Linked DNA regions of Caenorhabditis elegans. The protein of the gene in region 1 interacts with the protein of each later gene in a pairwise test. Each region holds a gene or a part of one and is shown in the gene's direction. Other genes may lie near its edges.

The links.
Region 2: the proteins of fem-3 (region 1) and tra-2 interact in binary tests that used the Caenorhabditis elegans proteins (3 or more experiments, as listed by UniProt).
Region 3: the proteins of fem-3 (region 1) and fem-2 interact in a two-hybrid assay, tested with the Caenorhabditis elegans proteins (2 studies listed by BioGRID).

The regions. Positions count from the first base shown.
Region 1 is NC_003282.8:9,099,352-9,110,549, forward strand, and holds fem-3 (Sex-determination protein fem-3), read left to right. Parts: upstream 1-5,614; 5' UTR 5,615-5,850; coding exon 5,851-5,921; intron 5,922-6,011; exon of another isoform or gene 6,012-6,019; coding exon 6,020-6,364; intron 6,365-6,409; coding exon 6,410-6,488; intron 6,489-6,859; coding exon 6,860-7,207; intron 7,208-7,289; coding exon 7,290-7,380; intron 7,381-7,760; coding exon 7,761-7,993; 3' UTR 7,994-8,256; downstream 8,257-11,198. Other genes in the region: gldi-10 (AMP-activated protein kinase glycogen-binding domain-containing protein), read left to right, coding at 20-26, 79-190, 567-656, 705-1,199, 1,287-1,434, 1,484-1,609, 1,657-1,888, 1,956-2,209; C01F6.14 (Ovule protein), read right to left, coding at 4,546-4,770; aly-1 (Chromatin target of PRMT1 protein C-terminal domain-containing protein), read left to right, coding at 9,595-9,796, 9,846-10,315. UniProt on the Caenorhabditis elegans protein: Required for male development. In XO (male) animals, fem-3 directs male differentiation in all tissues. In XX (hermaphrodite) animals, it specifies the first 80 or so germ cells to be sperm. Negatively regulates male development when bound to tra-2.
Region 2 is NC_003280.10:6,960,524-6,971,325, reverse strand, and holds the start of tra-2 (Sex-determining transformer protein 2), read left to right. Parts: upstream 1-5,652; coding exon 5,653-5,835; intron 5,836-6,009; coding exon 6,010-6,122; intron 6,123-6,172; coding exon 6,173-6,269; intron 6,270-6,319; coding exon 6,320-6,515; intron 6,516-6,570; coding exon 6,571-6,683; intron 6,684-6,738; coding exon 6,739-6,870; intron 6,871-6,924; coding exon 6,925-7,605; intron 7,606-7,654; coding exon 7,655-7,790; intron 7,791-7,848; coding exon 7,849-8,112; intron 8,113-8,163; coding exon 8,164-8,278; intron 8,279-8,337; coding exon 8,338-8,434; intron 8,435-8,486; coding exon 8,487-8,564; intron 8,565-8,609; coding exon 8,610-8,704; intron 8,705-8,749; coding exon 8,750-8,850; intron 8,851-8,898; coding exon 8,899-8,972; intron 8,973-9,134; coding exon 9,135-9,314; intron 9,315-9,658; coding exon 9,659-9,753; intron 9,754-10,802. Other genes in the region: putative very-long-chain enoyl-CoA reductase art-1, read left to right, coding at 1-268, 323-450; C15F1.5 (RING-type domain-containing protein), read left to right, coding at 741-797, 845-973, 1,359-1,459, 1,509-1,635, 1,683-1,793, 1,839-2,132, 2,566-2,619, 2,979-3,095 and 2 more; eif-2Bgamma (Translation initiation factor eIF2B subunit gamma), read left to right, coding at 3,684-3,834, 3,886-4,049, 4,102-4,258, 4,309-4,501, 4,549-4,711, 4,761-4,871, 4,914-5,026, 5,195-5,298 and 1 more. UniProt on the Caenorhabditis elegans protein: Plays a major role in controlling sexual cell fates.
Region 3 is NC_003281.10:628,805-639,914, reverse strand, and holds fem-2 (Protein phosphatase fem-2), read left to right. Parts: upstream 1-5,288; 5' UTR 5,289-5,342; coding exon 5,343-5,381; intron 5,382-5,435; coding exon 5,436-5,775; intron 5,776-6,186; coding exon 6,187-6,383; intron 6,384-6,433; coding exon 6,434-7,043; intron 7,044-7,342; coding exon 7,343-7,506; 3' UTR 7,507-7,896; downstream 7,897-11,110. Other genes in the region: tag-266 (Golgin subfamily A member 7/ERF4 domain-containing protein), read left to right, coding at 1-137, 588-758; sbds-1 (Ribosome maturation protein SBDS), read left to right, coding at 1,506-1,639, 1,847-1,976, 2,145-2,216, 2,777-3,202; eakr-4 (EAK-4 Related), read left to right, coding at 3,748-3,873, 4,222-4,320, 4,375-4,434, 4,495-4,617, 4,675-5,022; T19C3.6 (uncharacterized protein), read left to right, coding at 8,928-9,056, 9,363-9,527. UniProt on the Caenorhabditis elegans protein: Dephosphorylates auto-phosphorylated Ca(2+)/calmodulin-dependent protein kinase unc-43/CAMKII in vitro. Involved in the regulation of sex determination.

The DNA.
Region 1 (11,198 bases):
AAAAGAAACGGTCGATATCATGTTTGGTGAGCATTTCAGAAAGCTGCCAGTTTGATTTAATCATTTGTAAATGTTCAGGTAATGAAAAGAGCGAAGAATCCGGAAGTTCTGGGTTTGGTTTAGCTGAAGTTAAAAAGGTTTTCCAGTGGATTCTCGGATGCACTTATGCGAAGAAAACATTCAAAACTAGGTCAGTTTTCGTGATCTGCGATTAAAATATTACCTAGATGCCAAATTTTGCAAATATCATTCCACAAAAACGGTACTCGGTCTCGACACGACCACATTTATGTTTGAGGCAAAATAATGTGCACCTTTAAAGATTACTGTAATTTCCGATCTTCGTTGCTGCGTCTTTTATTAATTTTTCATATGCAATTAGACGAATAATTACAGTACTCTTATCTTTAAAGGCACACTCCTCTTGAACTTACTGTTGTTAGCAAAATTTTGTCGCGTCGAGACCGGCTACCGTACTTTTGTGGAAAATCCGAAAATTTCTGTAATATCTCTGTATTATTTTGAATTGCTTTTTGAGAACTGATCCGTATTTTGAATCTTTACAGAATTTCTGAAATGTTTCATTTTGCTGATGCTCCGCACATTGTCGTGTATGAGCGAAGTGAGGAGCGACCATGGTATTCGATGGTTGGAATGTGAGTTATTACATGATCAATCAATTATCCATTCTTGAAAATTTTCAGAATAATTGCAGTTCTCATTGTAGTTATGAGTCTCTATTACACACTTGAAGCTGGATACCGTTCAATTCGAAAACTCATGCTTTCAATGCTCCAAGATCCGCAACAGAGTACTGTATCCACTCCAAGATGTCTATCACCAACAAACATGGGATCCAAGAAATCTTCGCCTCAAACTCCAAAAACTCCGGATGTGATTCGTCAAAAAGTTCCGATGAATGAGCCAGTCAATTGTGTGTTCATTCGACCAGTTATTCCAAAAACTATTCCAGAGGGTACTGTAGCCGTGCCGAATTTGAATTCGGAAGAAGATATTTTATTGGATAGAGATCATTGTATTGGAGAGAAAGGAAAAAAGATAAATGGAAGTTTAGAAAAAGACAAAAAAGTGAAAGAAAGTGGAAAGGAAAAAATTAAAAAAGAAACTAAAAAGAGTCCACAGACAATGACACTTGATGAAGTTCAATTTGATGCTTCTTCCAATTTTAATATTCGACCGTAAGTTTGTCTTTTTCAACAGGCTTTATGTATTGTATATTTTAATATGTTTTAGTTTCAAATAATCCTTGAAATTCTCAACTTCAGAACCATGGCACCATCTCCAAATGTCCACACTGACAGTACTCAACCATCGAATCGTAAATCAACTGGATCTGATGATTCGAATATTGCAAATGCTCCAAACTCTTCACACTCGGAATGTGATCAAATTAATGAACGGGTTTTGAAACAGGTATTCACAATATTTTAAATTATAAATACATTTCTGAGTTTAAATTTAGATTGCTGGATGCAGAAATCTTGATGAAGATAGAACGGATGCTGGTGCATGTGATGCCATTTCTCCGCAAGACTCTGGAATGGATCTTCACGGTATTTCGAATGATTTTTTTGGGAAAATTCAAGATGTTCGTTATTCATTTTCACTTTTTGATGCAGAGACGTGATTTTTTAGATTATCCAAGCCCAACTTGGAGATTCTAATATTTTGGAAGCCACTTCCGATGAGAATCTTTCGGAAATGTCAATGGTTACAGAAAGTCTCATGTCTAGTTTAGCTGAAATTGAACCATCGTTTATTGAGACTGATGTTCAAGAAGCCTCGGAAACATCATCTCACTGTGAGCCAAACCTAGGAGCAAAGCAGACTGTTGGAAATGAGCAAGATGCTGATATTGTTATTGATGGTCAGTTCTTTTTTTCACCATAGAACGGTTTAGACAATTTGCTTTTGATTCATTGTCTTTTTTCCAGATTCACATTTATTTGCTGAATCTGAAAATGAATGCAGTGGAAGCATCCTTGTCAAAGGTGGACAACAGAAGGTGTTGTTCCGTTGGACAGACGAAAAACCGACTACTGTAGATTCCGTTACATTGACTGGTTCATTTTTTGGTTGGAATATGAACATTCCGATGAAAAGAAATGAATTGAAGATGTTCGAAGTTTGTATTGAATTGCCGGATGGAATGCATGATTACCTCATTAATGTCTACCGTTTTGATTAGTCCAATTTTTGTAATAAATGTTTTGTAAAAAATTTTAGTTTTCAAAAATGTTATTTACTTGAATAATACTTCATGACCCGGATGGATCATTTCCTTTGCATGTTGATGATTTCTCTTGAAAAAAGCAATTTCCAATTTATCATGCAATAAAAACATAATCTCGAATAATACTATAAAACTGGCTATTTTCAAATTTCCAAATTATTTCGAAATCATGGAGAGGCGATGGGACGGCGTCTGGTGAGCTTCATGTGGATTGGAGTGACCGGGCGAACGATGATCTCCATTTTTGGACGGACCTGAACAATTTTAGTTAAAATTTAATTTTTACATGTTATATTTTCAAAGTACCGTCGATTGGGGAATCCCCAATGGGGATAAAAAAGGCTAATTAAGCTTTTTTTATCCAAAAAATTGAAAACTATTGTAATTTATCTATTTCTTCGCTAGAATTTTCTCATTTTGCAATTAACAATTTCTTTCAAAAAAAAAACGTAATATGAAAAAGTTTACTTTTGTTGTGACTGAAAAAAATTTTACATTAGAAGAAACATTTTTTAAATTCAAAATAAAAAGTAAAACTTTCTATATTCTATTTTCAATAGTGCCTATTTATGAGAGCAATTTAAAATTGCAAAATGAAACATTTCAGCGAGAAAATAGACATCGCGATAATTTTCAATATATTGGATACAGCTTAAATTGCTTAATCATACAAAAAATGCAAGTCTCCCCAATCAGCGGCGCTTTCAATTTTCACCTCGTGCATCAACTCGACAGCTTTTATATTGAAATTTCTCAACAAATGAGCCATGATGACCTTCTCTTCCATAAGTGCAAAACGTTGACCGATGCAATTACGGCTTCCAGCTGAGAATGGGATAAAGGCGAATGATTTTCGACCAATTGAGTTTTCAGGATGGAAACGATCCGGATCGAAAACATCAGGATCCTTCCATTGAGCAGGATCGCGGTGAACAAGGTACAGGTTGAGCAGAAAAGTGACTCCTTTTGGAATATTAAAGCCTCCAATTACTTGATCATCACTCAGTTCTCTCGTAATAATTAAAACAGATGGAAAGAGACGCAGAGCTTCTTTCAATGCACATTCAAGATATTTCATTCTGGAGAGATGTTCAATAGTCACATCTTCATCGTCGCCCATTACTTCATCCAGTTCCGCTTGAACTTTTCTCTGAACGTCGGGATGATTTCCCAGAAGATGAACTGCCCACATTAATCCTGTAGATGTTGTATCGTGACCCTCTAACATGAATGTGTTACCTTCTGCTTGAACATCTGTTTCGTCCATTTGTCCACTGTTTACCATTTCGAGAAGAAGATCCAGGAATGCGAGACGACCTTCCATCTTATAATCATTCTCCTGTAGTGCTTATTTTCTCTCGCCAATCAATTTCTTCGTAAAATCATGGAAAATATGAAGACATTTTTCATGCGTCCGTCCGTCCTCTGTTCTAAAAATACAAATTAATTGACCTTATTAATGATAAAACTACCGTACAAATTGTAAATAAATGAATTCCACATCAAAGGATTATTTGTTCGCTTTGAAATCAGTTTATTGATTGTGTGCACTGCCCATACATACTCGTTATTCTGAAAAAGTATTTAGAAATGTTGAGATTAGAGTTGTTTTCCCAAACCTCAGCGAGTTGAGCGCCGATAGCTATTCCCATGGAAGTTTCGCAGATGATATCAAGAGTACAAAGGGCGATAACGGAGAGAACATCAACTCTTTCACTGAAAATAAACATTTGAAATAAGTAATTATAAATTGAAATTCTCACTCTGCACCAAGGCAACACAATTTCTGAACCAAAATCTTCAATAAAAGAAAATCAAAAAAAGACGCCATTGTTCTTTCTGGCTCGTCAAAATACTGATTCCAAGCCATGGTTCAAGCAAAACGTATGCGAACCCTGTTCAGATGTTTCGTCGACGAGAAAATTGCTTCAACAAGGTCGCCAGAGTAGAGCATCAGGCATGGGAATGGACCAATCCACAGAAGACACATTCGTGGATCTGGATATAAATATCCCATTCCAATCACTTGGTTCATGAATCCCTCTGGATCTGGCTTGGTGATGAGTCCGTGACCGATGATTGGGTATGATCGTGGCTGATTGAGATGCTGAAAATTTATTGAAGTTATTCATAAATTTATTTTGAAATCAAACCTTCAAAGCTTGACGCATTCTCAAGTGTTTGTAGAGCAGCCAAGCGATCACCGTCGCCGAAGCCAGAAGTACAGCGAGGATGATAACCCCCATGCATATGATGAATAAAAAAATATTAAATAAAATAAATGTTTATTTTCATAAAAACTGGACAAATTTCATATATGGACTTATCGGAACAAAAAGAAAGAAATAATAATAAACCAAAAAATTTGAAAATCTATGATAAAACCTTTCAGATAACTTCTCCACAGTCGGTGATGACGCAAGCCTTGGAACCCTTCGTGTTTGATTTATTGAAGGCGATGCGGGAGACAACTTCGGTTCCAGCCAAAACTTTACCAAATGCCACGGTTTTTCCATTCATCGATTCATATGGAAGAATCGAGATGTTGAACAACGAGCTGTTATTGTCTTCTTTCAATCAATTTTCCTGAAAAAAAAAGCTGATTTCAGATGCGGATATTCATGAAATAAAAAAGCAGATGAATAAAAATAAATAAATTCCCATTTCAGTCTCTCAATTTAGAAATGCTGAAAAACTGACCATCGGCAATATTCCCGGATTTTGATGCATTTCAAGATACTTTTCATTTTTGAAATTCTTTTCGGCAAAAAACGTATGGGTCAAACATTAGCCAAATAAATATTCTGAAAAGTTAGTTTTTGATAGCATCTTTTAAGCTGGATTTTGTCAATTTATAAAACTTTTAGATGCCTAAACATCACTTACAAGATTGAAAGCCCAATGAAAAAAACTAATGTTCAAATGAGTTAGCAATGGAGCGCGTTTACGTTCTTTGCGCGAGCTTCGAATTTTTCTGCTTTTATTTTCAGAAAAAAACACTTTCTGAAGTTTTTCAGTTTTCCTTCAATTTGTTATATCTGGTTTCATGCATTTTTTAATCGTAAGAAAATTTCATATTCATTTTAGTTTATCGAAATAAGAATTACTGTTTTAAAAATTAAACAGAATTGAGAAAACCACAAACTAAGCGCCCTGTGTTATTTTTTAACCAAAATTTCTCAGATTTTAAAAGATATTCTGAATTGATGCGAAGTAATCGTGTTTCTCTAAATTATATTCTCAGTTATTCTAAAAATTCCCCTCCTCTTCTCACATGCTCTTTTCCTAATTCTCAATGCAATTTTTCACAATTTATATTATATTCACAACCAAAACTATATTACTAATCGAAAATTGCAGACGCTGTCCGAACAGTTGTAGGAGTGGTGTCGGGCGACGTCAACGTCTCGAAACAGAACCAGGACTGCGAACGCGGAGAATTTTGTCTGCACTCTCTCCGAAGAGAGTGCAGAGAAAACCAGAAACGGGTAGTAGACCACCCAGTCGGTTAACTACGGTGGATTGGAAGAAGTGACCAGCAAGAAATTTCAATGTAAAAATAAGAGAGATTTCCATTTATTTCAATTGTAACTGTAATGGAGGTGGATCCGGGTTCAGATGATGTAGAAGCTGACAGAGAAACGAGAGCTCAGAAACTAAAATTAAAGTAAGTTAAATTTTTTAATGTTTTTTTTTGTTGAAATTGTTTTAAATTCTTTAATTCACATCCAGTCAAACTAAAATGATCAAAAACTAGGTTTTCAGAAGAAATGTCAAATTCCGTGCACAAATGAGAAGATTCGACGAGTACTGTGGAGTGACTAATTTAACAGTAGATGATCTCAATTGGCCTTTAATATCTGGAATTCCTTTACAAAGACAACGATTGACAGGAGCTACGTATTATGATGATAGTCTTCTCGATCAAAATCCTTGGGATGAATTTTCAATTGATCGATTTCTTGAAATTACTTCAATTCAATTAATAACAGCCGGTGCTGGATATGAAAGGAATGATGAAATTACTCGATTCGTTTTTCAAAGAACAATGAAGACAATTGTAACTTATTGCAATTTTATGTATGATTTGGCAAGGCGGAACGGGAAAGTGTGAGGCGAATCTGAAATTTTATAAAATAAAATTTTAATTTTCAGTCAAATAACTCGATTCGAGTTGCAAGATTTGATTCATCGCGATGAATTTCGGTTTTACATGTATTTTCGACAATTTTTAGTGAGTTTCCTTGTTTTATCATAAATTAAAACAAGCTCTACTTACCCGATTTTTTTTTCGATTTTTGAACCAAAAAAGGGATATCCGACTCGACACGACAATTTTTAGTTAAATAAAAACGGGTGTGTGCCTTTAATAAGTACTGTAATTTTAAACTTTCGTCGCTGCGGAATTTTCTTAGTTTTTCGGAAAATTGTTTTAATTAAAAAACTAAAATTACGCAATTACCAAAAAAAAACAGGGATTTTAAGAAATCAGGAAAACATGTAAAAACCGGTGAAAATTTAACAAAAACAAAATCTTGAAATTCCAGTACTCTTCAACGGCGCATTTCCGTTTGTATTTTACTTTTTTTAAAATCCTAATTCCAGCCCAATCCGGATCCGAATTGTACGGCCTTTTCCAATCACTACACGTCTCTTCTTCATACACTCTATTTCAATATTCCGGGAATGCCACAGTTTTGGAACAATTCCCAAATGTATAATTACGCTGCTACCCGTGGTCAACGCCTTGTTCAAAATATCGCCGCTTTTTATCCACCCGAATATTTTTGGAACGAAGATGAATCCAAGTATCATACTACGTTTGTGGTTCCACGTGGCACAGAGTTCTCAAAGTTTTATGCTCGAAGATTTCATGAAGCACTTGGAATGCCACCACTGGAAAATGAGATTATTACGGTTTTGGATTGGCTTGCGAAGCTCTGCATTTTGGAAGTAAGCATTTTAAAAATGTTATTTATGTACTCATATATTAATTTAAAGCTTTTAAGCGTTAAAAACTATTTTACATTTGTAGATTGTATATCACACAACGATTTGGTGCGACATAACTGGATTTGGAGGGCTTCCACGTATTGAGCACTATCGTTTAGCCATGGAGAATGTTGGTAGGAATTTATTGTTAAAATAATTTAAAAGTATATACATGACATGTTTTTCAAAATATAAAACACAATTTTTTTAAAGCGAAACTTTAAAAAATCATCAAAAGTCGAATAGCGTAAAGGGAATTTTTGTTTTCATAGTCGCAAATTTCTAAATTCTACAACAGAAAGACAAAAAATCGACATAAAAAATCCATCGTTTGAAAACATGCTTTTTCGATTTTGGCATTTTTTTGTATTGAATTCAAACCCGGATGTTAGCAAAAATTTTTAAAAAATCACGTTTTCGGTATTACTAAATTCTCCACATTTAAAAAGAGTCCATTCTGAAACTTTTTCGATTAAAAAATTTCTTTCACAACTATGTTTTGTTCTAATTTCAGAAGACATCATATTCGACTTGGCAATTGATGATTTCTCAATTTCCCGTCTACAGTTACAAATTTCGCCGTTTGAAATCTCTCGCTACTCACCTCTAGATGTATCTGGTTATTATGAAACAATTAAAAGAAAAAAAGATATTGAAGAATATCAAAATCGTTTCTATGAAGTTCATTATTCTGATGATGTTCGGATTATGAATGTTTATGCTACTGATTGCTCCAGGAAACGATGATATCAATTGTTATAATGATTTGCTTTTAATTTTAATATTATTTCATTTGAAAGTCTAACTCTCTATATTTTACCCAGATTTCCTATTTAATATCACCGATTTGCCTTCTATCTCACTAACGCTTCTTGTGTCATTCACTTTCGAATCCTCTGGTTTACATTTTGAAAAATGTCATAATGGTACACTGCTAAAAAAAGCTGGTTCCATATCACTTTAATTTGTTTTAAGATTTGTTTAATTTAAAATAAAGGTATAGATAATATCGATTAAGCTGCTTACAATTGGTTAGACGCTACGCAAGTGCGCTCTGGTAGACAAACAATAGCATCTGTTGAGTGCGCAGTTGGTTTACACTCATTCAAATGTGTACGGGTGTGGCATTCGAAACATTTCGAATGAAACACTAAGAGTTCCAGTTGCTTTTACGAGTTTTTGTGTAATTTTCAGTTGATTTAACGTTTATTGCTCATTGCTAGAAGCCGAACTACAAAAAACCCACTATTTGGCAATTAGTCTACTACGACTCAATTGGTAAAATATTTCGAAAGTTATATTTTTCCAATATAACCATCAATTTCATAATGTAGCATCTTTCCTTCAATTTTTAATATTTTTTTGTCATTCTGAATAAAAAAGTACAAAAGTCATGCTGAAAAGGATACATATCGATACAATTCCACATGAATATAATTTGAATTTCTATTCAACTGATATACATTACACATATTCGCGTGTGCTAGAAAACTCGTATTTTCCCATTCGATACATCATCTGCCAACTTTCTTAACAATCCCAAGATCGTCACCCTTTCCTCCACAGCACCAGTCCCGCCTTTTTAACAACGATCTGTTTTTAATGGATGCTCGATCTATATGCATTAATTCATTCTATCATTCATTTACCGAGATGGTCATAACATATTTCATTTATTTATGGTTTTTTTTGCTTTTCCAATGTATTATAGTTATATGAAATTCTCTGTAGTTCTAAAGTAAGTCGCATTTTACCAATCTTTTGTATATATTTTTAAAGCTTTGCTAAACTAAGAAAAATTATACAGGCTAGATTTTTCTAAACTTTATAATTTACAATCTTTAAATTTTGATGTCCAAGTTCCTCTTGATAAGAATCGAGCACTTTATAAAGAAACTACGAATTTAATAATCAATCTTCAACAACTCCCCCAAATTGGTAATTTCTGTGTTTTATTTTTTGATGTCACCTACCTATTCTAATTAAAATAATACTATCTCTGCCAATTTGATAAACGACCTTTCCCATCTTCTCCGAAGTTCCAAGTAGCCATCTCCAGATACTCCATCCACCTAGTCTATCGATTGAAAAGTCTTCACTTCCAAACGCTGCGTTTACCTATTTCCCCATTCTCAGAGAATATCCCACACAGAGTCAATCATTCATTCCGCCGACTTGGTCTCTTTTCCATTTCATTATTTTAATTTATGTACAACAATAGTCAATTGACTATATTAGTTCTCTTATTGCCATTTGCTCACCCTCTTTCAATGTTACATCTCAGCTTTCTACATTCATTGCCTTCAATCAATTATTTATGAATCAAATTTCAGAGAACTTCTATCAAAATGGCTCGTGCTATTGCTATCGATGCTCCACTTTCCGCTGGAATCAGAAGAACAAAGAAAAGTCCAATCAAAAGAGCATCAGTTGGTGGAGTTAAAAAGAGATTCTCCACTGGAACTGCTGGACCATCAAGAAGACCAACTGCGCAACCAAGACGCCAAAGTGGAGGAATCAGAACAGTTGACAGATCTATTCCAGCAAATGGTAAGTTATAAATGCCATTTTGCTCTTAAGTTATGGTTAACATTTCCAGAAAACCGTGAAGTACGTATCAACTTGTCAAACTTGGCCCACACCGTTCACTCCGGGGACCTTCGTCAACTCTTCGCTGAATTCAAAATTCGAAACGTCTCCGTGAACTTCAACGAGCACGGAAAACCAGTAGGAACCGGAGATGTGACTCTCCCAAAACGTCACGCTGATCGTCTCATCCAAAAGTTTGCCGGAGTCTCACTCGACGGAAAGGAGATCAAATTCGCTATCATTGATTCAGCAAATATTGCAAACCGTGTCAAGTTCCCAGAAGCTCCAAGAAGAGCTCCATCAAATGGAAGACCAGCTCAAAGAGCACCAAAAAGGCAGAATGTTAAATCAGGAAAACCAACAGGAGGGGCTGGAGCTCAAAAGAAATTGAAGGCCAAGAAGCCAAAGAGAGAAGCTCAACCAAAGAAGACACTCGAAGAGTTGGATGCGGAGCTCGATGTGTATATGTCAAAAGCCTAATAATTTAATTTAATCCAAATTTTACTTGTTTGTTCTCATGTTTTCATAACTTATAATTTTGTACCTAATAAAAACATCAAAAGCTAGAACACCCGTGTTTCGTGTATTTAAAAAGAAATCATATTGAACGGCGAACAAACGGTAAAGCTAAAATCTCCTCGTAAACAAAGTAATTTCATTATTATATTTGTTCAAAATTATTTTTAAAAAACATTAAAATGAATCAAACCAAAAAAGGAGGTGTCGATAGAAATATATTAGTTCCCATATCATCCCTTCGTCAGTCAAATGGAAATGCCCATTTCAATCGTTTTTAGGCGGTACGTGATCAAACACACACTGAAAAGAAGTGCCAATTAGGGATGCGAACGTTCATTTATTTATCTCTTTTGTCATTTGATGGTGCCCATAAAACTGTTTTCTTTCCGTTTCAAATGTGATTATTATGCTTCTTCTTCATTGCTTACTCTTGTTCTTTCATTTAAAAACTACAAATTTATAGTGAAATCATTCAAATTGTTTGCAAAAACAGAGCTCTGTCTCTCTATTTTTTCTTTGCAAATTTATTTTCATCATCCTGTTCCACTCTTTCTTCGTTTCCGCCGAGAAATCCACTTGACCCATAATCAATCATCAAAATACACTCGAGCGATCCTTTTTTTTGAGTTTTGATGAGATTTTGAACTTTCTTGAAATGGTTTTTATTTTTCTACTTTAGCATGTGTACTGTTCACATTAGATTTGGAGTAGCGACAGTGGGGAAATTTATAGCAAGAATATCAAAGAAAACACCTTTGGAATATTAAAAATACATTTTATTATAAGTCAAAAGTACGAACTATGAATACTCAATACTTTGAAATTTTTGAAAAACTAAAAAAAA
Region 2 (10,802 bases), on another chromosome or scaffold:
TTTGTCAATCACCCACTTTTCACACCACCAGCTTTCGGAGATCTTCAGGTTTATTTCGGACTTGCCGGTTTCGTGATTTCGGAGTTTGGAAATCTCTCGATCCACATTCTTCTCCGCAACCTCCGTCCAGCTGGAACCCGCGAACGTCGTATTCCAAAGCCTGATGGAAATCCACTTTCTCTCCTCTTCAACTACGTTTCGTGCCCGAACTACACATATGAGGTCGCATCATGGATCTTCTTCTCCATTATGGTCCAATCTCTTCCAGGTAAATAAAAAACTTGTAAATATAATTGATTTTATTCATAATCTTAAAATTTAGCAATCATCTTCACCACCGCTGGATTCGCTCAAATGGCAATCTGGGCCCAAGGAAAGCACCGCAACTACCTCAAGGAGTTCCCAGATTACCCAAAAAATCGCAAGGCCATCGTTCCATTTGTTCTCTAAATTATCGCATTTGCGCCGAATATTTATTGTATTTTTCATGTACTCTTGCAGTTCTATTATTACCAATCCGCTTATTTCAATCAGTAATTTATTAAATAGACAATTTCTCCAGATAAATGTTTGCTTGAAAAATGTTGCAAGTCTTGGTTGGTGAAAAAAAAGCGTTAATAAAAGAGAAAAAATGTTTAAATAAAAATAACGTGATATTGTTTTTTACATCGAAAATTTAAAATGTTCCCGACTTCAATGTAGAAAGAAGATTATTTCGAAATATTTCAAGTTATCCAAAGATGTCAATTTGGTGTGCAGTTTGCAATGATTTAAAACCATGTGAAGAAGCAACTCAAGTGAGATTATTGCATTATTCTCAGCCATACGGATTCAAATTTTCCAGTTGATTCCCTGTTTGCACACATTCTGCACAAAATGCCTCAAAAAATCAACCAAAAAGATGCGTGTCTGTCCAGTTGCACATTGTTACTCGAGTCTTACAGCTCCTGAACCAATGACAAGCACTTGCGAAGTTAGTAATTACAAAGATTCGAACTTTTATGACTTTTCCGCCAAAGATACGGTCTCGAAACGGCAATTTCGTTAATTTCAAGTTGGTGCGCGTCTTTGAAGGGTACTGTAGTCTTGTGAACTCTCGTTGCCACGGAATTTGAATCGAAATATTTTTCAATTGTTTCCGATAAAAAATGGATTCAAATTGTGAGAAAAACTATGAAAAATTGATCAAAATTCCCAAGAAACGAAAGTTTAAAATTACTCTTTAAAGGCGCACACCCTTTTGAATTGCATTTAACAAAATTAATCGTGTCGAGACCGGCTACCGTAATTTTTAGCACAAAAATCGAAAATTTTGCGGGTTAATAATATGAAAAACTATGGAAAATTGAGTTTTGCAGGGAGAAAACTGCCAGCGAAAGATCATGGGAAATGCTGAAATTCTGAGAACAGCATGCCATCACGACATATGTCAGCACTGTTATGATTTGGCAAGCAGAAAGTTAGAAATTTGAATGTTAAAAGCTTCATAATTCAATTTCCACTTTCAGAGAGAAATCTTGTTGCCCTGCTCTTGGTTGTGCTGAATTGATGATCGATGAAGAAGACATGATATGTGAAGGACCATGCAAGAAGGCACTCGTATTTGATAAGACAATCGTCATTCCATGTTGCGGGGTAATTTTAATTCTTAATTATAAGGAATAAAATCAAAACATTTCCAGGCAAGAATGTGTGATGTGTGTGGTCCGAAATGGACGAATGGACGGGATTTTTGTGAACTCGGCAAGTGTGTCAACAAAGAGTCAGCGAAAAGGAGAAAGTCGGCAGATGCGGTATAGTTTTTCGGCTCATTTAATTACACACGTCAATTAGTTCAGACCCGACAACCATGTATGGGATCACTACACTGTGAGGGTGAAGTTCTTCGAAACTTCCCTTCTGAATTGGAGTGTGACCATGATGTATGTATTAAATGCATCGGATCAATGCTTGACGAATGTGAGAAAAATGGAAAGTCACCGGCTTGTCCTGTTAAAACATGTGCAATTCCGTATCGATGTGAAAGCGTTTTGGCGTTGGATGCTCAGTTTCCAGAGAAGAAGGCGTTTTTCTCCAAGTTCACTCTTCAGGCAAAATTTTCGATGCAAACTTTGAAGGATGACATTGTAACGGTAGGTGTACTGGAGCTGGACGAGAAATTTTGCGCCAAACATACGGTGCACGGTCTTGGCACGATGAATTTTGTAGAATGGCTTTTCCGTTAATGGAAAAAGCCGTGCGTTTTTGAAGAGTACTGTAGTCTTAAACTTTCGAATTATTTTTCTTACCGGTCTTTAAAGACGTCTTTGTCATAGTTTTTTGATAACGGTATTAATGTTATTTTAAAAAACAAATATGATATTAATTAAAACACATAAATTTTAACGAATAGTGAGAGAAAACTATGGAATCAATAAATCAATTAAAAACTCCGCAAAAACAGAAGTTTGAAATTACAGTATCCACAGAAACTTGTCGTGTCAAGACCGGGTACTATACTTTAGCGCAAAAATCTCGCATCGTGGTTATAGGGGAATTAATTTAGACAAAGTTACAATTTTTCAGAACATAATCCATGGAGATCTAAACACAATGAATGGTCAAAAGTTTTCACTCAAGGCAAGTAAATATATTTCTCGTATTTACTAGGGTGGTCGTCTCGTTCTCTGCCACAACCCCGCCTACTTGCACGAGAAAGATGGGCAGCTGCGAAACCCGCGAGATGTCCGAACACAAATAAGCATAGGCCCCCCTTCACTATAGCTCATAAACTTACCTGGCTGGGGGTATCTCGTGATCATGAAGACGGGATCCCCATGGTGAGGCCTACCCATTGCACTTTTGGGCGGGCTGACCTGTGTGGCAGTCTCGAGTTGAGATTCGCCAACAGCTTAATTTTTGCGTATCGGGGCTGCGTGCGCGCGGCCCTGAAAAATATTAAAGTTTAGTGAATCTGAAAATAGGGAAGGAAATTTTAGATTGGCCAGTGTGATGACGACGATGGAGGAATGCCAATGGAGTTCGTTAGGGAAGGAACGCTCGGAGACCTGGTCAGGGAAACTCGTCGTGTTCTGAAAATTCTACCCACCGACAAAGTACGTTGACCCACTGATTCCAAGCGTCCAGTTATATTTTTTAGATCTACGGATACTATCGCATTGATGACAATAAGAAGTCGAAACTCGATGTGACAAAAGATACAATCCGATCTTCTTGTTCTTCTTTGAACATCAACGAGGTTCATTTTAAAACACCCTTGACTTCATTCTTCATTTTAATATTTACAGAACACTACTGTACTTGTCGATACCACGGGAATCGTGTCGAGACCAAAGAAACAATAGAATGAGCTCAATTAATTGATACTCAATTACGATTTGTCATTCTAATAAACAATATTTCTTCAAATAAATTCCTTTCCGATCTAAATACACATCTTATCGTTTCTTTCCTCCAGAATTCTGCAGAATTTATAATATACAACAAATCTTGCTAACGACAGTATACAACAAATCTGGCTAACGACACTCCGTAATAACGCATGCGCGTGTTGTTTAGCCCGTAAATATACAACAGTTATTTTTTAAACAAAAAAACAATTCCAGCAGAGTTGCAAGCTTTCTCTTTTTTTTCCTAACATTTTAAACATATTTTTTTCGTTCAAATAACAATTTCAGATAAAAATGCACGAAATGCAAGGGATACTTTTGTGTTCTGGAGGTGGCACACGCATGCCTGTCCTTACACGCCATGTTCAAAAATGCCTACTGCCTGTTGTCGGAGTGCCAATGTTCCTTTATCCACTTTCCTCGCTTCTAAGAACAGGAATTACTGGTAACATTGATTTTTTATCGTTAAATATGATTGAGTAATTAAACTTTTAAGATATCAAGATATTTGTTCGTGAAGTTCTTCAACTAACTCTCGAAAAAGAAGTAAAAAAGTCGAAGCTATTAGAAAAGTATCCAGCACATATTGAATATATTTGTGTCAATCAAGAGGATTTTGGAACCGCGGATCTATTGAAGAATCATCATTCTAAAATTACGGTAAGTCAATCAGCTGAAAAAGAAGTTACCTTAATAATTCTAATTTTTACAGAAAGATGCATTGATTGTTTCCTGTGATTTTATCAGCGATGCCAGTCTCATTCCACTTGTTGATTTCTTCCGAGCTACAAATTCCACGCTTGTCGCTCTTATTGCAGATACGTGTGTCAATGCTCCGGCTCCGGGATCAAAATCGAAAAAACCTAAAGGTATTATTTATTTCAACCTTCCTCTAATTTATCAAAATATTAATTTACAGCCACCGATGTAATGGCAATAGTAGAATCGACAGGTCAACTTGCATTCCTTTGCGGAGATGATGATTTTGATGCTCCATTGGTTATGGAGAAAAGTTTGAAAATATTCCCATCGATCAAATTAACTTCAAAGTACAATGATTGTCATGTTTATGCTATACGTCATAAAGTTCTTCTTAATCTGTCAAAATCAAAGTAAGTGTTTCTTTGAATGTGTTTTACTCTAAATGTATAATTTCTAGACACATTTCATCATTCAAAGCCGATTTTGTGCCTCTTCTGATTGATAAACAATTTGAACCGGATTCTGATATCAAATGCTTTGCATATCGTCTTCCTCATGAAAATGGATTTGTAACTGCACATGCGAATACTCTTGGCTCTTATTTCGAAGTGAATAAAGCTGTAAGTGCTAATAATGCATTATCATATAGCCTTTAAATTGTTTTTTTAGATTCAAAAATCTTTTACTCGATTGATGGAATATCGCGGAAATGGGAAGAATTTCAACTACAAAACTGATAAAATTGCTGCCCACGAGAGTCGGATCGAAGAAAGCGCAGAGGTAATACTTGTTCAAAAATAGTTAGGGAACATTTCCATTCAGATTGACAAGGATTCAGTTATCAAACGGTCTTTCATCTCGGATAATTGTCGGATTGGTGAAAAAACAAAGCTAAAAGAGAGTATCATTGCCAAAGGCGTTGTCATTGGAAATGGGTTAGTTTTGGGATTTTCGTAGCGCGAGAAGTTTCGGATGAGCTTTCGGAAAAGATATTTTCTTAATAAATAGACAAACATATGAAAACTTTCGATTTAAGAATTCTTCTGTTATCACAATTACTGATTTCTTGAATTAAAACTTGAATTTATACTTTTCCATTCCAGTGCCTCCATAAGCAACTCTATTATTTGTGATGGAGTAGAAATCGGAGAGAATGCTGACGTCACCAATTGCATTGTTGCTAAGGATCAGAAGGTACCTGCTAAAGGTTAGTTGTTTTCATTAGTGTTGTTTTTTTTTTAATTTCTCGTGTTTCTTTATAAATCAACGATTTTCAGGCAAAGTTCAAAACGAGGTAGTAGAAGATGGAGAAGACGAAGAATGGACCGATGATTAACAATCTTGGAATTTTAGGAATAATTGGAGCCTTTTTGTGTTTTCTCTTTTTTTTACGCGGTTGTTTTATTTTTGTTTTCTGATAAATTTATTGAAGATTAAGTTTTTTTGAAATTTTCGTTTTCCTCTATCTTTCACTCCAATGATAGGTTCTCTAACCCTACAAATTATTTTGAGTAATATTTTTATTTACGATATTATTTTACTAACAGATAATAATGGAACAATGAAATTGAAATACAATAAACTTCTCGTTTCGGTGGTGATTGTCACCTTTGTAACATTCGGGTTGCTCTTAGCGGAATGTTTTGGAAAATCAATTGATTATCAAGAAAAATCAATATTTCCATCGTTTGTCAGCCAGGGATTCTTCGAAACTCGTACGAACAATGAAGAATACATTATCGAGGTATAACCTTTTCAATTTGGAATTCAGATACTGAAAGTTTTTAAAATTTTAAAATGGCTATTTGAATTAGATGACAAGGTCTAAATATTTTTAACTTTAAGCTAAGTATGACATGATTTTGTGAACAAACAAATGTTTTTAAATTTTCAAACTATATAAATATAAATTTTCTAGAAAATCGCTCAAACCCAGGAGAATGGAGTAGATATGCGATCAACGTTACATTTCACTCAACATGGATACTTACTGAACAACATTTCAAATTTGAAAATTAAATTTCGCCAAAAGTGAGTTTATTTCATTCGTACTCTTCCATAAAACGTCCAACATATTTTAGAACATACACACTCAATGATGTCTGCTTTAAACCACATATTACAATATTCCAACAATCCTCTTCATCCGATCAAAACGAATATCCACATTATATCCAGGTTTTCTTGACTTTTAGAAAATTAAAATTTCATTAAAATAGTAATTTCAGAGGCTTCTTCTTGAAATGCAACGTCTGTCACCATGTCTTATCGTGACACCTCTAAACTGTTTCTATGATATCTACCGTATTCATGGTGAAATCAGTAATTGGAATAAGAATACCGACTTTTTGAATCGAAGACTTAGAAATTCTTATATTGAAGCTATTGGAGAAAATGATGAGAGGCCGTATGTGAAATCAAATTGTAATAAATCAAAATAAAAATATGTTAAAAAAAAAACAAATAAATATGTATTTAGATGGACCTAGCCTGATCAAAAGTTGGGCCGATCACATGTTTGATTTACCATCGAAGTCATTCACCAACTCAACTAAAGATGCATTATTTCAGAAGATTAAGCTTTGGCTTTTGGTAGGAATACATTTAATTATAATCTTCTTTTTTCAACAACCAACAAAATCTTCAGAGCATAGAACCACGCCAAAAAACATGTGCAGCTTCAATTCATTCCTGTGACACACCTCTGGACTCTGAACACTACTTCAATATATGTACAGATATGCAGTCTGTTGATAATTTCGCTGAAAAGAAGACAAAGGTATTAATATATGCATAACCACGCAATTACTGAAAAAAAAAAGAAAAATTGCAGTTCAAATTAGAAGATGTCGATGAAGAATTCGCAATGAATCTCGATTGTGTGGATGATCAAGAACAGTTCATTGAATGGATGCAGGAGTTGGAGATCAGAAAAATGTATTCTCATGTAACTGAAAAGCCAGATTATCCAAATGTTGTAAATCAAACATGCGATAAGATTTTTCATGATTTGAATAGCACTGGAATTGAATTTTTCGACGGATCGAGAAGCTTCAGTAGTACAAAATCTCAATTTGATACAATGCAAACGGAAATTGTCCTGTTAACTCCTGAAATGCTCTTATCAGCTATGCAACATTCAGACTTTGTGAATGGTTTTGAATCAATTTGGACTATTGAAAAAGCTGAAGAACTTATTCATGAATTCCGATTAGCCTTGAAAGAAGAAACTGAGAAGTTCAAAGAGAATAGAATGAGCAAAATGATAAGAGTTACATCACGAGTTTTGGATAATACTGTAACTACGAAACTTCAATCATTTTCGGAGAAACAAACAATACATTTTGTGGTTAATGTACATTCATTAATTGTGATCTTATTCACAATCTTCGTATGGTCTGGTGCTCCTCTCAGATCAGCTTTCATGTTTTTTGTTCGAGATGCTCTCACGTGTTTACTTTTCTGTTTTGTCTGCAGTACCGATGGAGTTATCGTTTTGGATACGGAATTAATAGTAAGCTTATAAATGAAATAATAGTTAAATGTATAAAGATATATTTCAGAAGTATATAATTGTCCTTACATTGGCTAATCTCTACTTCACAACTCGTTCTTCATTCTGTACTGAACGACTATCCCGATGTATTCAACGAGAAAAACGGTTTCCCATAAACTCAAATTTTGCTTCTCTTATTACAGGTATGCCTTAAAATTTTTTTGTATTTTTTTAAATTTAAAATTTGATATCTAATTTCAGTTGACACAATGACTGATTCTCGTCAAATACAATACTTCCTTAGTACTGTAACAAAGTATCAAGCAGCCCAAGACTCATATTCAAATGAATTATTTGAAAGGTTCCCGAAGAATTGGGGTTGCACATCAATTCTGATATTTCCAATCGTTTTCGTCTATTGGTATTTCATTGATTCTAATTTTGACAAGATTTGTGTTTCTGTTCTACCATCATTTTGTTTGGCTGCTGGTGAAGAGCTTTTTGCTAAGAATATGTTTTGGAAAGGTATTTAAAAATTAAGGTTCGAGATTTTAAAACTGAAAATGCTATTTTTAGAGCGTGAAGCAATGCAAGCAAAGCAACGACTGGAAAATGAAGAACAGGCTGAAAGTATTACTGGAAGCTCCCTTGAAAAACTGTTTGCTGGTAATAAACCGGTTTCTAACACAGAGTGAGTGATCAGAATTGCCATGAAATTACCGAAAAAATCTAAATTTTTAATATTTTCAGCAAAGCTAATATTGTCAAAAAATCAAGCATCATCAGAAATCAAAAACCTTGTCTCCAAGATCTTTCACCCGGTACCTACGATGTTTCGAATTTCATGGTAAACCATTGTACAAGAAACATATTCATTCTCGTAGTTAAATTAATTACAGAAGTATCCACATCAAGCATCCAGAATATTCCGGGAAAAGATCATTGGATTATATCTTAGGATTCTGAAATTGAGAACAGTAGGTTTTCTTAATTGCGAAATCTTTTGAATGTATTTTTTCCAGCTCGGTGTGATTTTATGCATTCCTGCGATTCTTCTAATTGTGATATCAATTGGATTGCTGTTTATTCCAGTTAAAAGAGAAACACTTCATACAGAGTATGGTCTAATTTTTAGTATAAAAATATAATTGTGCTCTTATAGTTCGAAGCAAGACGACATATTCATTGAGTTCGAGATTTTCAATTTTTCTACTAATTGGAAGATAGTCAACCAAAATCTGAAGCAGTTCAGTGAGGACATTGGTGAGAGTTAAATATTTGAATATTCTATAAATTGTTCTACTTTTTCAGAAAGTATTGGAACACTTTATACAATTTCGAATTGGCAGAAGAGTTTCGAACGATTTGAACAAGAAACTAATAAGGTAATTCTTTCCAAAAGAAGATTTGACAACGAAAAAAGTGCGAAAAGTAGGATTAAGTGCGTGTAGACTGTTTGGAACATTTTTCGTCTTTTCGTCTCCCATGATTGTCTTTCGAAGAAAAAAAACGGGAGAGGTTACTGTATTCTTTCTACTTTTTTTCAGAATGCTTCTGCAGAATGGAATATATTGTTCAAATGGATAAATGATGAACCGATCAATTCAGCAGTGACTTTATTTTCGGAAAAATCATCTGGAAATCAAACAATTGCAAATCCATTTAAGTTTCGTCTACGCTATGGGTTTGATGCGAAAAATGAGACAACTGTGATAGAAATTGTTCAGGTGAGATTTTACTCAAAATTTGTGATTTTGGCATTAAAAATACTGTATCTGGTCTCACTGCGAAGTTTTTTTAATGCAAAGGGGCGTGCGCCATCAAAGAGTACTGTAATTTCCGAATAAACTAAATTAATTTCCAAAATAATTAAATTTCAAAGAAAAATGTTTTACGAAGCAATGAAAATTCAACAGGTTCGAAAAGTTGGAAATTACAGTACTCTCTAAAGGCACAGACCTTTTGGCATTCAACAAAAATTGTCCTGTTGAGACCAGGTACAGTAGTTTTTTAACGAACATTCGCAATTGGTAAATAACTAATGTATCAATTCCCATGAAAGTGTTTTCAGAAAATCGATGAATTGCTCTCCAAATGCTCGAAAAACCTTTCACCAAAAGCAGTCGGTGTCCTCTACGAGCATTATCATCGAATCGCAGTTGTCTGGTGAGTCTCAGTCGGCCACAATCGAATTGTGTCCTTTTTAATTTAATTTTCAAAGCCTGGAGGCAGGCATTTTCTGTGTAACAAGAATTACTCCTTTTTTCGAAACGTTCTGCTTTTACACAAATTGGCCACCAGTGTCTTACTGTAGGTCCATCTTCTTATCGAATTCAAACTAATTATTTGGCATCCAAATAATTCATGTTATCAAGAGTTTTCTTCTCGTTTTGGCATTTTAGGAGCAGCATTTTTGTTTCCGAAAATTTACCGCCACCCAGTTAGCATGTACTGATTAATTTCCAACAGCAGAAAGTTTAAGTTTTGAGATTTTTAAGTGCTTTTTCTATTTCTGAAACTTTTCTTAGATATCCTCTCCTAAAGTGCATTCATTTTCTCTATTTTTTCTCATTAATCGCGTATTTTAATCATTTCTCTGAGAAAAAGTTCAAATGCACTTTATCGGAAGTTGCTCATCAAAATCCGACACCTCTTCCCAGCACTTGCTCTTTTTGCTTATGTGTGTGCGTGTGAGTCGAAAGCTGCTAAGAAGACGTGAGCCTATGTGCTCCGGGCGGTCCTCCTAGTCGCGCCGGCGCCACCACCGAGTTCGCGAAAGTAAGAAGACGACGAAAACCAAAAGAAAAAGGACAAAAAATAGGATGAAAATGAAATAGAAAGGACGGAAGAGATAACAGAAACAAATGATTGATTGACAGGGACAAATAGACAGACTTCTGTTCGAAAATCTTTGGGTTGAGGGAGGTCAGAAAAACAAATATCTGGAGCTCAATGAATCAGCGCGGCGTTCTTCAAGATTTGGATCTGAATCTGAATATCCAGAACCTACCCACCCGCGTCATAATCTTTCTGATCTTAAACCTGGGTTCCTGCTCACTCAAAATGTATAACCTAGATCGTGCATTTTGCAAATTTTCTTTGAAACAATTTTGACAATAGATTTTTATTTATATTCTAATGGAATTCTGATCTCAAAATATTTGTAGAGTTTTTGTTTTTCTAAATATTATTTCTAGCATTACATAACCCAGCGC
Region 3 (11,110 bases), on another chromosome or scaffold:
CGGCGACACTGTCTCGCGTAAATTCTGTGCTCAAACGCCACGTACAAACGTCATCGCGCTGGCTTTTATGTGGATTAGCGTTTTGCTGTTGCTCAATTGGATGCTCAATGTGGCCGGTGTTATGTCTGAATCGGAGGGTAAGAATTCGAAAAATTAGGCGAGATAATTCGGCTCCGTGTTGATTTACGAGGATTTTTTCGCCGATTTTCCAATAAAATTCATCTGAAAAGTGGTTTGAGACACTTTGAATGGGTCTGCTTAATATTTAGCAGACCCATAGTTGGTCTGCTAAATATTTAGCAGACCCACAGTTGGTCTGCTAAATATTTAGCAGGCAATGGCAGTTATGAACTGTTTAGTTTGAAATGTTTGAAACACTTTGATTTAAGGTAAGAAAACCAACTGAAAACCACTAAAAATGTGGAAAGAAACCGCCAGAAACTCGAAAAATCTAGAAAAATTGTGCCGTGAAAAGCCTGTAATTTTTTTTTTTAACCAAAAGAACTGAAAAAATCTAGATAAAATCCCCGTAAATCGACACAGCCCAGTTTTCAGTTAAATTTTCTCTTAAATTCCCCAATTTTCAGACCGTCTTAGCGCTGGAAAAATGTCTGGACCACGAGAATGTTAGCCTTTATCACAAATTGGGCCTCCACTGGTCCCTGGCTCGGCGCCCAACGGAGCCCTCAGACCGCCTGACCGAATATGTGCTCGAATTGAAAACTTTGCCTAAACCCGCCTTAAATCTTCCCGATTAGTCCCCATCCGGAAATTGCGAAATTTTGCACATTTTTCGAAAAATTTCGCATTTTCGCCCACTGTTTCCAAACAAATTTGTACTTTTTTTGTTCTTCCATTTGACCTGATTTTTCCGTATTTCTGTCTATTTTTGTATATATTTCCCGATTGTCATCACCACCACCACTTCCCCCAATGCTTTATTCAGGGTTTTTAGTTTTTTTTTTTTTCAAATCGAATCTAGTCTACCAGGCTTAAATGACTGAAAATTGGCTTGAAAATTATTCGGAAAATATCAAATATACTGAAATTCTTTAAAATTTTGAAAAATATATCTACTTTTCCGAAAAAAAACATGAAAATTCTCATTTCTGAAACTAATGTGAGCTTTTTCGAATTTTTTTGAATCTCAGAAAATTTGAATTTTATCGAAAATTTTCCAATTATTCTTATATACCGAATTTTCAGTCATTTAGACCCAATTTTAACTAAATTCGAATCCGATTTTTCGTTTTTTCGACGCTACGACCCCGAAAAACACCCATTCTTCTCACCTCAACGACTGGTTTTATCTCTTTTTTATTTGATTTATCGACTTTAAAGTTTAAAAAAATTCAGATTCTCCGTTAAAATGAAAATTTAGATTAAAATTTTTTTTCGACATTTGAAAAAAAAGTAGTTTCAAATCTATTTTTATATCTCAAAATGGTCTCTTTTGTTTTAAAATTAAAAATGCCAAAATCTCTTAAAATTTCAGCCGAAAAAAAATGTCAAAAAATATCAAAACGCCGACAAATCAGAAAGTTCTGACCAATGTGGCAGTGGTTCGAATGAAGAAAACCGGAAAACGATTTGAAATCGCTTGTTACAAGAATAAAGTTGTTAATTGGAGAAATAAGAGGTAAAATATATATTAATTTTTAAAAAAATCATATAGAAATCTGAAAATTTTAATTCTCAAACCATTTTCTCAGTGATAAATAAAAAAACAGTTGTTTCTAAATTAACCTTTTGAATAATTTTGTTCAAATATTATTTTTTGGAATTAATATTTACCATATCAAAAATCAATTTAAACAATTTCCCAAAAATCTAAAAAAATTTTCAGCGAAAAAGACATTGACGAGGTGCTCCAAACCCATACAGTCTTCTCAAATGTCTCAAAAGGACAACTTTCCAAGAAAGAGGAGCTTATCGCCGCTTTTGGAATCGAGGATCAGTTGGAAATTTGTAAAATTGTAAGGAAAACTTGGATTTTCTGGAAAAAAAGAAATTTTAAAGTTTTTTTTTCAGATTAAAAAACATTTTGGCCTAAAATTTGGTGTAATTAGTGTTATTTGTCATCTAAAAAGTTGAATAAATTTATTCAAAATAGGTAGAAAAAGACAATATTTCCTAAATTTCAGATTCTCGACAAAGGAGACTTGCAAGTGTCGGAAAAAGAGCGTCAGGCGGCTTCAGATCAATCGCTGAAAGAGGTACAACTTGCCACGTAGCAAAAAATGAAAAAATTTTAGATTCCAGGCTAAAAACCTGTTTTTTTCTTTAAATTTTTAAAAAATTAGGTAGTTTTTTTCTCCTGAAAAATGTAAATTTTCCTCCAAAAAAAATCCTGAAAAATCTCAATTTTTCTTCAAAAAAAATCCTGAAAAATCTCAATTTTCGTCAAAAAAATTCCTGAAAAATGTAATTTTTCATCCAAAAAATTCCTGAAAAATCTCAATTTTCCTTCAAAAAAAATTCCTGATAAATCTTAATTTTCCTCCAAAAAAAAAATCCTTTAAAAATCTCAATTTTTATATAAAAAAATTCTTGAAAAATGTGAATTTTCATCCAAAAAAATTCCTGAAAAATCTCAATTTTCCTCTAAAAAATTCCTAAAAAATTCCTAAAAAATTTCAATTTTCCTCCAAAAAAATTCCTGAAAAATCCCAATTTTTTCTAAAAATTCCTAAAAAATCTTAATTTTCTCCCAAACAAGTTCCTGAAAATTTTTAATTTTTCTTCAAAAAAATCCTGAAAAATCTCAATTTTCCAGGTATCCCAGCTGATTGCCTCAATGGTCGTAAATCCTGAAACGAAGCGTCCAGTTCCACCGTCAGTAATCGATAAAGCTCTACAAGAAATGCACTTTTCCCTGAAACCGAATCGTTCCTCAAAGCAGCAGGCTCTCGACGCAATTCCAAAACTTCGTGAAACTCTGAAAATCGAACGAGCCAAGATGAAGATCCGTGTGGCGATTCCGACAAAAGAAGCGAAATCCGTGCACACGAAGCTTAAAACCCTATTCAGTGACGTGGAAGTTGACGATTGGCAGGATGGAAGCCTCGAGATGGTTGGGCTCATTGAGCCCGGATCGTTCAGAGCTTTGGACGATTTGGTCCGAAATGAGACGAAGGGACACGGAAGATTGGAGATTCTCAGCTTGAAGGATGTCGTCGAAGGAGAATTGCAGATTTCTTAAATTTCATGTTAAAAATTTTATTTTTTTGTTGCTTTTTTGCTCTTTTGCACTCAAAATGTGCAGACATTTTTGAGTGTTTTTCTTTTTTTCCCCTCCACACACCCGAGAATTCTTTTTGGATCTCAAATTGTTATCATCAACGTTCCCATGTTTTTTCCCAGTTACCAAAAACTTTTTGTGTCAGGTTTTCAGAAATCATTATTGCTTTTAAATGAAAAGTGTTAATCTTACAAATTTTTGAGAAAAACAATTTGGAAAAAAACCCCAGGAACATGATTTGAAGGCTAGAAAACTAATTCTCTAAGTTTCCCCGGCTCGAAAAAAATTCGTTCAATATTTATTTTCCATCACTTTGCATAATTTACAGTACTCACCAGGCCAGCGAAATTCATGAAATTGTACAATTTTCTTGTTGTTTTTCCAACAAAATTTAAAAATAACCCGGACTAGTCGAAAACAAGGCAGTCGTGGGGTACTGTAAATTAGGCGGCCTACCAAGTTGAGCCTTCGCCAAGTAATCCTCTATTTCCCTGTCACAACCGATAATGGGGCAATGTCTTGGAACCCTGTGCACTGTAGATTCAGCTACAGATAATATTTCCAGCGTCTATCAGCTGGCAGGCCCAGTTGCGGTGAAAGAGAGCCCACGTATTGCTGAACGGGACCCAAAGGTAATATTTTTCGTTTTTTTTTCAGAGTCTTATGTTTTCAATCTTTTTTGCTGAGAAACCTTCGAAAAAAAAAACAAATCTAAGCTTAAGTCTAAACCTAAGCCTATGCCTGGAGACACAAGCCTAAGCCTACGCATAAGCCTAGGCCTAAACCTAAGCCTACACCTAAGCTTAAGCCTAAAGGTTAGCCTAAGACTAAGCTCACACCTAAGCCTAAGACTCAGCCAAAGCCTAAGACTCAGCCTAGGCCTCAGCCAAAGCCTACGCCTAAGTCTATGCCAATTTCTAAGTCTATGCCTTTGACAATACCTAAACGTATGCCTATACCTAAGCTCAAGAAATTTTCAGGTCAAAATCTCTGTGAATCCCGAGGAGGAAAATGTTGAACGCCCCTGTGTACTTTACTCGAAAAGTAACGAGATTATCAAAAAACCGGATATTTTTGAGGTGAGAATATTCTTAATCACGGGCACGGATTTTCTCAAATTTATAAATTTTTAGGAAATCTACAAGCGCACACCGATCACCCTCTCGAATAACGGTAGAATTGACGTTGCCGAGGTTTTTTAAACATATTTTTTTCAAAATTACATTTATCAAGAACTGAATTAATGAATTCAGCTTCCCGCCGGACAACGAGTCATTGAAGTAGAGAACAACGAGGTTCGCGACAAGTATAAAAAAACGTTGTACGAGATTCGGAGAAAATGCAGGGAACTTCAGAATTTGGGTGCTGAGGATGAGGTAGGCGGCCTTCAATGGCGTTTGAGTTAACTCAAGAAAAATCTGCGATTTTTCCAGGAAACCGGTGAAATCATCGATACTCTTCTTATTCTTTACAAGGACTTCTTCTTACTAACCACGTGGAAAATCGATAAGTACGCCCAGTTGAGAAAAAATGCCGCAGTTCAAGCTTACAACTCGCTACCCAAGCTTAGAGCCGACCCCGCTGAATTCCGATGCCACGTGGAGTTTCAGTATCGCGTGGCAAATGAGCTATGGGAGCATTTCAAGGAGACATATATCCACAAATATGAAGCATGTAATTGGGCGGAGAGGGCGAAAGTGAAGGAATGGGATCTTTTGGACAGCCAAGTACAGACGCCGAATGTGGAGTGGGATTATCTTGGCGCGCATGGATATATATGAATAATTGATTTTTATTTTAAATTTTTGATCCATTTTTGATTTGATAAAAATGTTATTAATACAATACAATGCGAATTAAATTAATATTTCGCGCGAGAAACGCGCCAACGCACCGAAAGTGCGCAAACGAGAAGCTTTGCGCGTTTCTGGTGCAGAAAATTCTGCATTATTTTTTTGTTGATTTTTCCTCATTTTGTGTTGAAATCCATTGTTTTTTCTCGGTTTTTCTCTGATTTTTATGTTAAAAACAATTATTGAAATGTCAGATCAACCCAGCTGTCCCACCGAAGCCGGTAGTGGTTTTAAAACTGGAAAAATACATGGAAAAAGTAAACGAGGAGCGGGATGCGGTTTTCGAGGTAGAAAACGGGATTTTATATATTTAATGCTAGTTAGAAAAATGTATATTCCAGGATCACATCGGCGATCGCCGTCGAAGTGTCCGGTCACTTCTGGAGGAGGCATTTGCAGATGAAATGGAGAAAACTAGCTATGACGTCGAGGTTGCCGACACTCCACAACCGCATATTCCAATACGTTTCCGTCATCCACCAATCGCCGGACCAGTTCATGATGTTTTCGGAGACGCGATTCACGACATTTTCCAGAAAATGATGAAAAGAGGCCAGGCGGTCGACTTTTGTCACTGGGTGTCTCACTTGATCGCCACAGAAATTGACGAGAAATTCAGTGAAGTTGCGTTCAGAGATGTTCAGTATAATCCTGATATTTATGTTACCGATAGTACCACAGGTAATTATTAAATGTGCAAAATCTGCTATTAATTTAGCAGACCAAGCATGGGCCTGCTAAATATTCAGCAGGCCTATCCCCATTGGTCTGCTAAATATTTAGCATACCTAACTTGGGTCTGCTAAATATTTAGCAGACCCATCCCCATTGGTCTGCTAATTATTTAGCAGACCAACTATGGGTCTGCTAATTATTTAGCAGACCACCTATGGGTCTGCTAAATATTTAGCATACCTACCATGAGTCTGCTAAATATTTAGCAGACCTATCCTCATTGGTCTGCTAAATATTTTTAGCTGGCCATTCCCCATTGATCTGCTAATTTTTGCAAAAATAAAACTTGTTAAATAGAATTTTTAAAAAATCTTCAAAAACTCAACACTTCTGTTCATCAATACAACTTATTTTCAGAAGCCAAAAAGCTATTCAACGACAAAATTTGGCCGGCGATCGACAAGATTCTCCAGCAAAACGCCGAAACGTGCCCGATTCTGTCTGAAAAGTGGTCTGGAATCCACGTGTCGGGCGATCAACTGAAAGGGCAACGTCACAAGCAAGAAGATCGGTTTTTGGCGTATCCTAATGGGCAATATATGGATCGTGGAGAGGTTTAGGAGGATTTTAGGCCTGGAAAATTACTGAAAAATGAAATTTTTAGGATCCAATTTCGGTGTTAGCGGTGTTCGATGGTCACGGTGGTCACGAGTGCTCTCAGTACGCAGCCGGGCACCTTTGGGAGACATGGTTGGAGGTTCGAAAATCGCGAGATCCTTCAGATAGCCTCGAAGATCAGCTTCGCAAGTCGCTGGAGCTTCTCGACGAACGAATGACTGTCAGAAGTGTGAAAGAGTGTTGGAAGGGTGGAAGTACAGCTGTCTGCTGTGCAATCGACATGGATCAGAAGCTTATGGCGCTGGCGTGGCTCGGTGACTCACCCGGATACGTCATGTCGAACATTGAATTCCGTCAGTTGACACGTGGACACTCGCCATCCGATGAACGGGAAGCTCGGCGTGTTGAGGAAGCTGGCGGCCAGCTTTTTGTGATTGGAGGCGAATTGCGGGTGAACGGAGTTCTAAATCTCACCCGAGCACTCGGAGATGTTCCTGGACGGCCGATGATCTCTAATGAACCGGAAACGTGTCAGGTGCCTATTGAAAGCTCGGATTATCTGGTGCTCCTGGCTTGTGATGGAATTTCTGATGTTTTCAACGAGCGTGACCTGTACCAGTTGGTGGAGGCATTTGCGAATGATTATCCTGTTGAAGGTTAATAAAAATTCTTGGAGAAAAACTAAATTTCCAAAGCCAAAAACTATTTTTTCGTTTTTTTTTTCTGAAAAAAAATCAGAAGATTGGCTATTTTTCGGGGGTTTTCAAAAAAAAAAGTAAAGATTTTCGAATTATTGTATTTTTAAAAAAGAAAATCGGGTAATTTACTAAAATTTGAAAAAATCAATTTTTAAAAAAACCATTCAAAATTATTTTTAAGGTAAAAAACATTAGCCGACGTTACTTTATTTTTTAATGTAGAAAATTCTTTAAAAATCGAAAAAAAATTTTTTCAGACTACGCGGAGCTCTCCCGTTTCATCTGTACAAAAGCGATTGAGGCTGGAAGTGCCGACAACGTGTCTGTTGTGATTGGCTTTTTGCGTCCACCGCAGGATGTGTGGAAGCTTATGAAACATGAATCAGACGATGAAGATTCCGATGTCACTGATGAGGAATAACTGCTTTTCGGTGGAAATTTTGCCTGAAAATTGGGAAAATTCTTGCTAAACTTCGGTTGATTTTCTCAAATTTTTGTCGTTTTTTTTCCTAATTTTCGGTCGATTTTATCAAATTTTCCCCTGTTTTCCTGTGTCTATTTGTTTTTTGGGTATTCCAATTTTCTCTCTCCTATTCACCATATCGTCGTCATTTCTCCCCGTTATCTAGCAGCTTTCCGTGACCCACACACATATTTTGTTCTCGGTGTTCCTGTAGCATTTCACATTTACATACGTTTCCAACCAGTTGGCATCCCACCAAAAATCCGAGTACTTTCCTTCTCCTCCTCCACTTGAACATATATTTGATTTGAATTTATTTTATGATATAAATTGTATAATGACGTGGAATTACTGGGATATTGAGTAGCTGAATAGGTTTTTGAGACACTTTTTGAACACTGAATTTTCATAAATGACTGTAAACTTTTCAACTCGTGAAAAATGTAAAAAATCGGAGTATACCAGTCATTTTCAGTAGAAAATCTCCTTTTCAATTGAAAATCCGGGATTTTTCGAAAGAAAAGCTCGAAAACACCGCGAAAAAATGATTAAAAAAGTCATATTTTCAAGAGGGAATTTCAAATTTCCCGCTTACAGCAAATGCGCTCTATTAACAAAGAAAGCAGAATTTAGCTGAAACACGGCCCGGCAAAGGGTACATCAGTGTAAACGCGCTCTACTGATAATTGCAGTTTAGCCAGGTTTGGGCGCGTTTTAAGGAAAAAAGATTTGGTCCAAAAAATTTTGAATTTAATTTTTTTTTATGGTGGAATTTTACAAAATTTGATTTTTTTTAAATTTTCGATACGAAATTCTAATTTAGCGTCATTGGTGATTTTACAAATTTTCAGCATTTTGTCGTCAAATTTGGTGTTGCCACAGTACTTACATACTTTTGGAGCTACAGTAACCCAATGTTCACCGACATGTGGCGCCAGACTGTCCCATCGCTCTACTGCGCCAGAAAAGCGTGAAAATATTTTTTGAAATTTTGTGACGTCACAGAGCATTTCGAATAATTGTTTTTGCAGTTTAAGCCTCGATTTTCGCCGTTTTTTGCGTCGAATAACTTTAATTTATAAAAATGATATATTAAAATGAACTTACTATTAGGAAGATATACATATAACCCTTTAAAAATCTGAATTATTATTAAATTGTTCCCTTTTTTTTCTATTCATCACAATTTCTAGTCATGTAGACAATAACAATTAGAAGATGCACAAAAACGGCATATTTATAATTTTTCACCCAATTTTGTACAGTATCCAAATTCATATACGACACCCCCTGCCAAATTCTGAGAAAAACAATTAGAGGCGCATATAAAATTTGGTCGACTTCACTTTTTTTTTCTCATTTTCACTCGATTTTCTGCGATGGGATTGGTTACAAGTATTCTGGGACGGCGAGAGTATCGTTTGCTCCAAAATTCGGTTACCAAGAAGCATTTGTGCAAATTTATGGGTGTAGAGTTCGACTACAATGACTTGGATGAGATTACCGAGGTGAGATGATTTTTTATGATTTTAATGCTATGCCTACACCAAGCCTACCACACATGGTGCCAGGCTGTCCCATTACGGTTTGATCTACAAAAAATGCGGGAATTTTTCGCCCAGAAAAATGTGACGTCAGCACGTTCCTGACCATGCGAAATCATTTTAGAACTCTGCGTCTCAACTCCCGCATTTTTGTAGATCTGCGTAGATCAAACCGAAATGGGACTCTGACAACGCCCTCCTTCATCAGTTAAGTGTCGAATTAAAAGAAAAAAATAGTTTTTTGTCTTCGAATTTTTTGTAGCTTTCCAGATCCGTGTTGGGGAGAATATATTCGACACGTTCGAATCCTACGCAAGATTCGCCATGAAAGACACTATGAAAAGTATATTCGCTGAATGCAAGGCTATGAAAACATGTTTGGCTAGAATTGAGAGGGAGAAGCAGACCGAAGCCTCAATGAATCACAAGATACGGGTTAGTTGGAATGTAATATTGATTTTTTAAAGGTTTTTGTTTAGAAATTCTGCCAAGCAGCCTCTAATAAATGCCGAGTGTACAGACTCCGCCCCTTTTTCGCGTTTTTTCGCGTTTTTTTTGGCTTGCGAAAAAATGTCACACTACGTTTTCATTAATAACTCCAGAGCCGTTTGACTGAATTTTATAATATTTGACAGCTTACTAGAAATATTTTGCCCCACGGTGGAGCAAAAAACTGCACAAAGTTTGGAGCAAAACTGAGCTCAGGGCGGCTTTCCCCAGTTTGAAAAAAATTTTTGTTGTTCTTTTTACCCCCAAAAAACCATGTTTTAATTGAATTAAAATTCGGGTTTTGCTCGGTTTTGTTCCAAATTTATGTGCAAGATACTACTCAGAGAGGTGGATTTTTTGAAAAAAAGTTTGAGATTATAAGTGCAAATGGAAAAAAGTTGTGATAAAACAAATGGCCAAAAAATGACATTTTGCCAAAAAAAAATTTTTTTCCGAAAAAGTAGTTTTTCGTCTTTATCTCAAGTTCTACTTCATCTTTTTTGATATTTTTTTTGTTTACCCCACGTACAAAAGTACGCTGAACACGATTTTTAACTCAGAATTGGAAAAAGTTCTATGAGTCGGCCGAGCAAGACGAATAAGTGCCAAATTTTGCACACTTTGCCATTTTTGCGAATCTACTTTTTCAATCATAACTCGGTCAGTTTTCAATTTTTCTTAGTTTTCTAAAAAATGACGTGTAGGTCTCATCAAGACGCATCGAGACATATAAAATTTGTAAAAAGTTCAGTGGGAAAATTTTTCAAGAAAAAAATAATTCAAAAATTTAGTACTGGGGGGAGTGGTTTCCTGGGTCTCCTGAACATTTTTTCCACTAAAGTTTTGCGGAATGTATTTTTGATTCATAGTTTTTGATTTTATTTAATGGAAGATGAAGTTTCGTCGCATTAGAAATACTCTGCCAAGAGATATTCATTTTATTAATTTTCAGGCCAAAACTTGTTTTTTTCTATACATCTGTCTGTGTACAAGATATAGCCCTCAACTGTACGTCTCCTTTTTGGGAAATCAATAATGAGTACAATGCTGTAATAAAATTTTCAAAAATTAGGTTTTCCGCTGACTTATCAGTGATAAACGGTTTTCGAACGTCTTTCCCCAAATAGTTATAATTGAAGAAAGCGGAATCGAAAGACGACTCCCTCCAGAAATTTACCTTCCTTACTTCCAGTTTGAGATTTCTCCCGCATGGCCGGGTGGTTAGTGCGTATGTCTGCGGATATTTTGGTAGTTGGTTCAATTCTACCAACTGACAAACTTTTTTGTTTTTTTTTGAGTATTCGGGATTCGAATATTATATAGAAATACTCGATTTTATACAAAATTTGGGTACGTCTCCCCCCATCTAAATCCTCCTCAAACTTCAATCAATCAAAACTCAGCTTTAACTGATTCATCGGGTGCGTCTGTTTTTGGTCAAACCGAACTCAAAAATCAAGAAGACTCCCTTGACCCACTGCAATTTGCACGAACCCTCTAACAGGTTCGAGGCGAAGTCGAGAGCCTAC